Nothobranchius furzeri: one gene and its partner. The protein of the gene in region 1 purifies or fractionates together with the protein of each later gene. This does not show direct contact. Links are inferred from orthologs where the notes say so. Each region holds a gene or a part of one and is shown on either strand. Other genes may lie near its edges.

What was found.
Region 2: the proteins of mios (region 1) and nprl2 purify together in Homo sapiens (affinity purification with western blotting; 3 studies listed by BioGRID and IntAct, with this or other methods). This does not show direct contact. The link is inferred for Nothobranchius furzeri from reciprocal best matches to the Homo sapiens genes MIOS and NPRL2.

Annotation. Positions count from the first base shown.
Region 1 is NC_091745.1:63,841,076-63,844,897, reverse strand, and holds part of mios (GATOR2 complex protein MIOS), read right to left. Parts: intron 2,798-3,822; coding exon 2,699-2,797; intron 2,610-2,698; coding exon 2,355-2,609; intron 1-2,354. UniProt on the Homo sapiens protein: As a component of the GATOR2 complex, functions as an activator of the amino acid-sensing branch of the mTORC1 signaling pathway. The GATOR2 complex indirectly activates mTORC1 through the inhibition of the GATOR1 subcomplex.
Region 2 is NC_091743.1:64,714,813-64,719,091, reverse strand, and holds the start of nprl2 (GATOR1 complex protein NPRL2), read right to left. Parts: upstream 3,075-4,279; 5' UTR 2,757-3,074; coding exon 2,685-2,756; intron 2,494-2,684; coding exon 2,402-2,493; intron 2,328-2,401; coding exon 2,159-2,327; intron 2,064-2,158; coding exon 1,955-2,063; intron 1-1,954. Other genes in the region: hemk1 (MTRF1L release factor glutamine methyltransferase), read left to right, coding at 3,716-3,781. UniProt on the Homo sapiens protein: Catalytic component of the GATOR1 complex, a multiprotein complex that functions as an inhibitor of the amino acid-sensing branch of the mTORC1 pathway.

The DNA of each region.
Region 1 (3,822 bases):
CAAATGTATGAAAATATTATATGAGCTGCTTCTTTATTTAGGTTTTGCATTTCAGCAAAATTGAATTAAAAAAAGAACCACTTTTGTTTTTGAGTGAACGTCTTCAGAGCATTCTGGGATTTTCTGTGGGACCCCTAAAGGGGACAGTGCCAGTTGGGTGTTTTCACTTTACAGCAAGAAAGTTAATATTTACTTTTAGAGACAGTCTGGGTGGCTTGAGAAACAGCATAATTGTAGCGCTCCGATCTGATAGCAAACGTTTCCTGTTTCACTCCATTCTGAGGAAGCACTGGTTGAAGTGTTTAGTCACAAATTTAAATATTTTATGCATGTATTTTTATAGTATTTATAACCCTTTGAGATGTGAGCTTACCTATGCTCTTCAACTGATGAGTGATTATCTGTATTATTACATAAGGCTGCATGTAGCTTTTCAGAGTAAAAGCATGGTTCCAGATGAGGTGTTTACACACTTTATCTAATGAATGACTGCATCAGTCATGCTCAGGAAACTCTCATTAGAACACACAACAGAAAAACGCTCAACCCACATTGGTGACATTTTCTAGGTCACACGTGTGTAAACATCAGCATTCTCTCTCTCCATTTTCGTTTAACTTGAGTGTGACAACTTTGCAGTGTGAGAAAACACGAGCCTTTTGCTGTCACATTTTTCAAATTCCATTGTTTTTCCTCAAGGAATTTTATTTCATTAGCTCTAGAGATGATGCTTTGTGTCTAGATTCATTTAAAATCCATAGATTACGTCCATGTTTCCGAACACCCTCACAAGCACATGAAAACACTGGTTGCTAGGTAGCGGCACTCGTTGGTGGTTGGATTTTCCCACCAGGAGGTGGGACCACCTCCATTAGAACGGGGCAAAAATCATTCAGATGTTTCCATCCTAACACAATTACCAACAAAAAACAAAGCCTTCCTTATTTTAAAGGAACATTTTATTAAAGGAGAAACGATGGTTGTGCTGGAGAGCACAGATTTGGGTTTCTGAACCAAAAACATGTTTGAAGATTATTGGATAGAAAAACATTCCAGTTAAAATGTTTAGGAGAAAAGTTTGTAACACTTACAAAGCCTCTCCATCTTGGTCTTCACCTAACTTCAGTAATAAATGATCTTTGACCTGCAATTCCAAGTTTTCTCAAAAATACCAATAATGAACGTAAAATGTTTTGTTTTTCTTTGCATTTGTTTTCTAGATAAAAAGTTTGATTTATAATGTGTCCTAATTTCAGAAAATTTTTATCTTAAAGTAACACTGAGCAGTTTCCTGCTCCTCTGCCTTACTGGTTGAAAGTGGAATTACAACATCCCTGCACCAGTCTGCTGTAGCTAGCGCTAGCAACAAGCCAACACTGACATGAGCCATGTCTTACTAAATAAGCCACAAATCAAAAAGATCCACACTGTTGGACAGAAAATATTATTATTTACAAGTCTTGTAGTAACAAAGCTAGGTCACCATCAGCCTGTTATTTCACAGCCTTTTTTTAGCTTCCTTAAAACTAGTGTAGGCCACGCCGATGTTTACTCCGGTTTTAGCTCTTTGCTTCACCTCCAAAGACATTACTCTCTTGCTTTTACTTCCAGCGCCGCCATGATGCCAACAGAAGATCAAACTTGCCCAGAAAATAGCTAACAGCCATAACGCAGATTTAAGAGCGCCCCCTAGGACACCCACCTATTCCACAAATCTGTTAAGTGCTGTATCTGACCAGTAGAGGGCTGCAGAGTGGTGTCACATAATGGAACTTGTCGAGTTACTAACCCAACAATCAGTTAAAGCTCTAGCTTAAAGTTTAAAAAAATATTTAGTGTTACTTTAAGCACTGAATGCCTTTAATTATGTTTATGTTTATTTATATGGTAGTCACCTGCAGAGCATCAATAAACCCAACATGCATGTTTTTGGTCTGTGGGAGGAAATCGGAGCGTGAAAAGAACATGCTCACAGCTGGGGATGGAACCTGTGACCTCCTGCTACCAATTGTTCCACCATTAATTTTTATCTTGCCTGAATATATTATTGTTTTTATTATTTTATTGATTTTAAGTCTTTCTGATTTTATGTTGTATTATGTGACTGCTGTTAGTGTGCAGCACTTTGGACTTGTCGGTGTTTAAAATGCTTTAGAAAGCTGGCTTGCTCTGTTTTTTTCCTCCAACGGTACTTTATTAGTTTTCGTTCATATCCGGGTACCGAGGACCATCAGACATATAAAGCAGACGGCTTTCGTCTTTGAATCTCTAAGATTTTTAATTATGCTGTTTGCTCCTGGACCAGGATGATGGTTTACAGGAAAACGAGACGAATCCGACCAGCTTTCCCTCACCCTTCTCCATAGTGGCTCCCTTGTTGAGGATCTGGATGGCCCGGCGGATGTCCAGGTTGAACAGAGCAATGGCAGCCGCCCGCTCCCACTCGCGTTCCTGCTCCAGCGATCGCAGGAAGGTCTCCACGTCGATGTCAGGACCCCGGCTGATCCAGCCACAGAGCCGCAGGGCGAGGCAGCGCTCCTCACTGCTAAAGCGCGGCACGTCTGTCTGCCGGTCCGAGCCGATCCAGCAGCGGCGGCTCTCTGTGGTGCCTTAACGCACAAGGAAGACAACAGAAAACTCAACCTAATAACAAGCAACAAGAATGTTCTGGAAATCATTTCTCCATTTATTTTCCTACCGGAGCTGGTTCTGATGATGTTCTTGATACCAGAATAAACCAACGACTGCTTGTTCCCCTGCAGCTTTAGTTCCATGTCTTCTGCACACTGCTTCATATGTGAAACTTACATAGGAATCATAACCAACTGGACCAGATCAAATTTCATTCTTACAGTTATGCATTTCCACCTCCGATTTAAACTGTAATCAGCTTATCTTAAAAAGATCAACAAAACCGTTTCAAAGACTCAATATCTGTAGAACTCAAAGCTAAGATGTAATTAGGTATACACGATATATCAGCAACAATATCTATATCGGCCGATATTAGTCATCGTTAAACATGTCTGTATCGATCCGAGAAGTAAAACTGCTGCCGAATGTGTGTGTTTCAGGCGGATGGGGCTGTTGTTATTGCATGTAACTGTTTTGGTCATATGACAGTGATACTAGCAGAATATTAAGATTTTAGCTTACCTTGATTTTGTAAAGCCTCTGGTGTAAAGATCAACAAAAAAAAACACTGCCTGCCAGCAGCAGCAACAGCAGCAGAGATGATCTCTGACAAATGTCTGTGTCACGGACCTCATAGATTTCAGGAAGTTTTGTTTATTTTTACAAGTTAAGAGAAAAGGCTAGCGTGTTTTCACAAACACTGCATCAGTCCAGCAAGACACTTTCCAAATTCTTCCATTTTAGAAGCCGTTAGCAGAGCAAGGCTTTGTTTACCATGGCACTCCTGTTTCAGGAACTAGAAGTTAGTTGGATGGATTAGATTCAGACATCTCATCTCTGATTGGCTAACAGCAACGGGACTCTACCAATGGCTCTGATCTGCGAGGTTGTTTTATCTCCACAAACAACACAAGGCTGATGTAGTTCTGCAGTGTGGTGGAGTTGCTAATGCTGACGATTAGCTTCTACTAGCTGAGATGTGCTCTGCTGGACGGTAAACCAACAATAGCCTTCCCTGTCATGAGCCAAAATGCAAATTTACAGTCTGACGTGGAAACGTCAGGCTTTTCTAACCCGAGTTTTCCCATCTATTTTCTATTGGCAGCTAATGAAGGAAATGGACCTTGGGACGGTGCTACAGGTCAATCAGATGGCACACCACTAGGCTCACCAACAGCTTCTTCCCCT
Region 2 (4,279 bases), on another chromosome or scaffold:
ACCATCTAGAAATACCATAGCTGTTTAGGGACATTTAAGATATAATGCTCCTCGTGTCGCATTTGCACTTTGACAGGAAAGTTCTCCTCCCTCTAAATGTTATGTGGGAGTGACACCTGTTCTCTCTATGGCAGCCTTACTGGTTAGGGGAAATTCTGCTCATTCCCCTTGGGTTGCTTGATCTGCTACATGTGATTGCTGGATTGAAAGCTGGAAGTTGTTTAAAACTGTGGTGGTGTGTGCACAACCGCGGTGTTGAGGGAGAAGAGTAACATGGCAGACACTGTTGTTGCTGCAGCACTGGAGCGAGAACACAGCAGCTGCTAATGACTGACCAGACCCGTTCTACATATATTCACAGGTCACTAAGAGAGAGCTCTCTAATACCTGAGAGAGACGCTGATTGCACGAAGCTGGAGAAACATTAAATAAAACATGCAGGCAGTTGAAAGCTGGTGTGTGGTGGTTTCTACATTGCCTTTTTGACGTGCGTGGTCTACTGTAGCTGCAATACCCACTCTGAACTGCGTGGCGCTAAGGAGTTGAATGTTGTTACACACATTTGGGCTTTAAAGGGGCATTATGGAAGTTTGACAACCAAAACATGTATAGAAATAATAAATTTCTTCTTCATACATTCTCCTGCAGTGTCCTGGTCCTGTAGAAAGAGCCTGATTGCCTGTTTTTCTGTAAAATCACAGAAAAAGAGAGCTGCTCGGGTCGAGCAGGCTGCTTCATGCACGTTCACGCTCAGGCATAGCCCGTAGCATTTGCTATCCGTAGCTTTAGCAGCAGTGCCAACTCAGCGACTTTGTCGCTGTTCCTAATGCCTAGTGACGGACCTAGCTACATTTCTGAGGACCCTTAGCTACTGTACTTTCTTTAGAACTTTCTTCTAGATATTTCCTGCAAATTAGCAACAAAATAGCCATTTTCGCTCTGAACCGTTCTTTGGTTTGACGTTGTTTCAGGTGTTATTAAGGATATAAAAGTTACAGATACTATGAATGTTACTGGTGTGTAGCTCACCTTGTAAGGTGTCTGACTCTCATGCAGAAGACCAGGGTTCGATTCTGGGTGTGAACATAGTTTATTTAGTTTTTTTTTCACATTAATGTTATATTTTTTTGCAGTAAGATGCCCAAATTTGTATTTGAGACTCGCCGAACGGCATTGAATTCACAGATAAAAAAGATGTGGGTTCAACTTTCATTTTGGAACAATTTTTCAAGCAAGGGAAGGGAATGATCTGAGCATGCAGGAGGACTGACCCATCATAAACCTTTGTCGACTGTGCTGAAGAGAAAGGTACAGAACCAAATTATTTAATTAATTAGCTGTGCATTCTCCTGTCCTCTGGGCCACACACACACACACACACACACGCGCACACACACACACACACACACACACACACACACACACACACACACACACACACACACACACACACACAAGGGACTATCTCAGCTGTTATTTTTGTTAAGGAGTGTGCACGTACAGCATGCGTGCCTCGTGCAAGAGCCTACTATTGAAGCTGCCATTACGCGTTTGGCCTGAGGGGGCAATCGCGAGTATAAAAATTCAAAAGTCCATAAAGTCCCTTTAAGTTATGGTTTACCTGTAAGCAAGCCCAAGAGCTTGACTCAATTCAATATCGGATCTGGAGCCACGTTTGTAAATTAATATAAGTCTAAATGAGAATTTCATTTGTAACAGCACTACAGCAGTTCATTTGAGTCATATCAACGCTAATTGTTCCACAATATTAAAGCAGAGGCAGATGTGGTGATTGTTTGAGACACTGTTTTCAGACGTGTTAGCTCAAACCTGAAGACACCATGGACCCGCTTTACATCACATGTTTTGTAACACACAACACACAATTGAGGAAGTAAATTTTGCTTGGTTTGTGTTCATAATTAAATCTACAGAACAAAATAGAAAACAATACCAATCGGTAAGGTGCAGGCTCCTGTGGCGTTAAGGTCCTCTAGCAGGGTCGACATGATGGGTATGAGTTTATGCTTACTCTCTTCTTTTGATATGAATCCACTTTCCAACTGCAACAAAATGCAGAAAAAAACATGAGCATCACCTCTTAGATGTCTCACTGGAAAAGAAAGAAAAAGCAATCCCAGAACGCATTGCACATTACCTCCAGAGTTGTGAGGTACCCAGACAGCTTCTTGACGATTGGTTCAAGAGCGCACGTGTTGGTCTGAGCATCACAAACAAAACCGAGGTTAAACAGAAGGGCATTTCGACTATACTTTTTATGCTCGATGCACACCGGGCAGCCAATCAGCTTTTTATCCATCGCAGTCCTATAAAAAATAAAAAAATTGTGTCAGAAGTTTGACTTTAAAAAATATCAACTTAACAAGCATGGATTACATACACTGTAATTAATTTGTTTTGTAGTTCTGGTTTGGTGATAATGTAGACTTGAACAGTATCAAATAACTCTCTTGAAATGTATTCCTCTGGAACCTGTCAAAATATAAGTAAGGGGAAAGAACAAAGTCATATAAAGTAGATTGTTTAGCACGATATAATAAATAACACAAGAAACTCACAATATGGGTCAGACCAATAACAATCAAATAGAAGATTAGTACTCAGACGCAGGAAGAAAGCAAAGATTAACTTTGATTTCTACTATAACAAGCATGTTTACTTACCTGGTAGGTTATCTTTGGGCCCAGAGTAGGATGAAACTCACTAAAAAATATACACTCTATTCGAGTGGCCATGTCTGTGATAAGCTCCAACCAGGGTTTTAAATGTGGTTGTTAAAAATAACTTCACCTGAATGCTGTCAGAGAGACAGCCTCCTCTCCTCTTTAACTACAACAGAACAAGCTAGCTGTTAGCTTTTACGTCGAAAAAGAAGCAAATGCGAGCCTTTTGAATTATTTTTAAAAACTACCGCACGGAATAGGAAACAATTAATGTGAATATTTAGTTAAAAGCGTACTTGCACTGGTGAAAATGTTATGAAGTGAGACTTTGAGCTGCTTGAATGAGCTACTCAAACAGATATGGAGGACAACAACAATGCTGCATTCACGGACTGTACGGAAGCTGCAGCTTCTCGTGTTTGCAACAAATATAGCTTGAATACAGTTTTTTTGTTTTATAAGATTGACGTTCAGTCCATGAAATCATCATTTTGATAAAAAACTTGTTGTAAAAATTACATTCTGACTAAAAATAACTTTAAAATGTGAATTTAGATACGCGAACACGAATAAATGATAGTTTACAGCTCTATTTACCGTGAACCATTCACATTCATTGTGTGTGTGTGTGTGTTTTGTCATTAAAACACATGTTTAAATGTCCAAGTCTCCGTGCTACGGCATGTTATTACAATTGTGTATCATAATACTGCAGCAACATTTTAAATTTACAACAGTTCCAAAGCAAACGCCGTCTTGCGCATATTGCGCAACTGCGCCGGATGCGGAAACATTTCTGAGTCACGTGACCTTCGAAACGATTTTCAATGCACGCGACCTGCTCAGTCAATCAGTGTTATTTGTTTCCTACAAATTATCATATTTCCTATGCAGTCGCGCAAAATTGTCCAGGAGAATGAAGGAATTATTTACGCGTTCTGTAATACAGCTCCTGTGAGTAGAAGAGGGACAGAGTTGAGCTTAACTGAGCTGTAGGTGAATGAATAAAAGTTCTTATTTTGTTTAAAACGATGTGGACAAGATTGCTGAATACAAGCTACAGATGTTTTGGAGTCAGGGGGAGTGGTGGACCAAAGGTAACTGCACGTGAAAACGAGGACAATGTTTTTAGTCTGCTAAATTGCTTATGTTAAAAATAACTGCATGCATCTTGCATTATTGGATTATGTCGACTATACAAGCTGTTTCATGTCTGACTAATAGAAGATAAACTCTTATGGTTGTGCTGAAACTCCACATGAAGTACTGAAAAGTAACAACAAAGTAGCATCATCATCCATTCACATGTGAGCTGCACCAATTCCGATTTTTGGGCCAGTTCCTTTTTCCGATAATGGTATCGCTCTGGCGAGCTAATGAGGATATTTCAAAGATCTTGAAGTTATGAAATAGTTTTTTGGGGTGTGTATTTTCCCTGGCGATAGTGGGCAGTACATACCTAAATCATTGCAAGCAAGCACTATTTTTGTGTTCGAGTAAGACCATATAAACGGAAGGCCATTAGGGTCAAAAATCCCTTGGAGTGCAATTTTCAAATGAGTACTTTGTCAGATCGTTTAACTGCCAGCAAAATG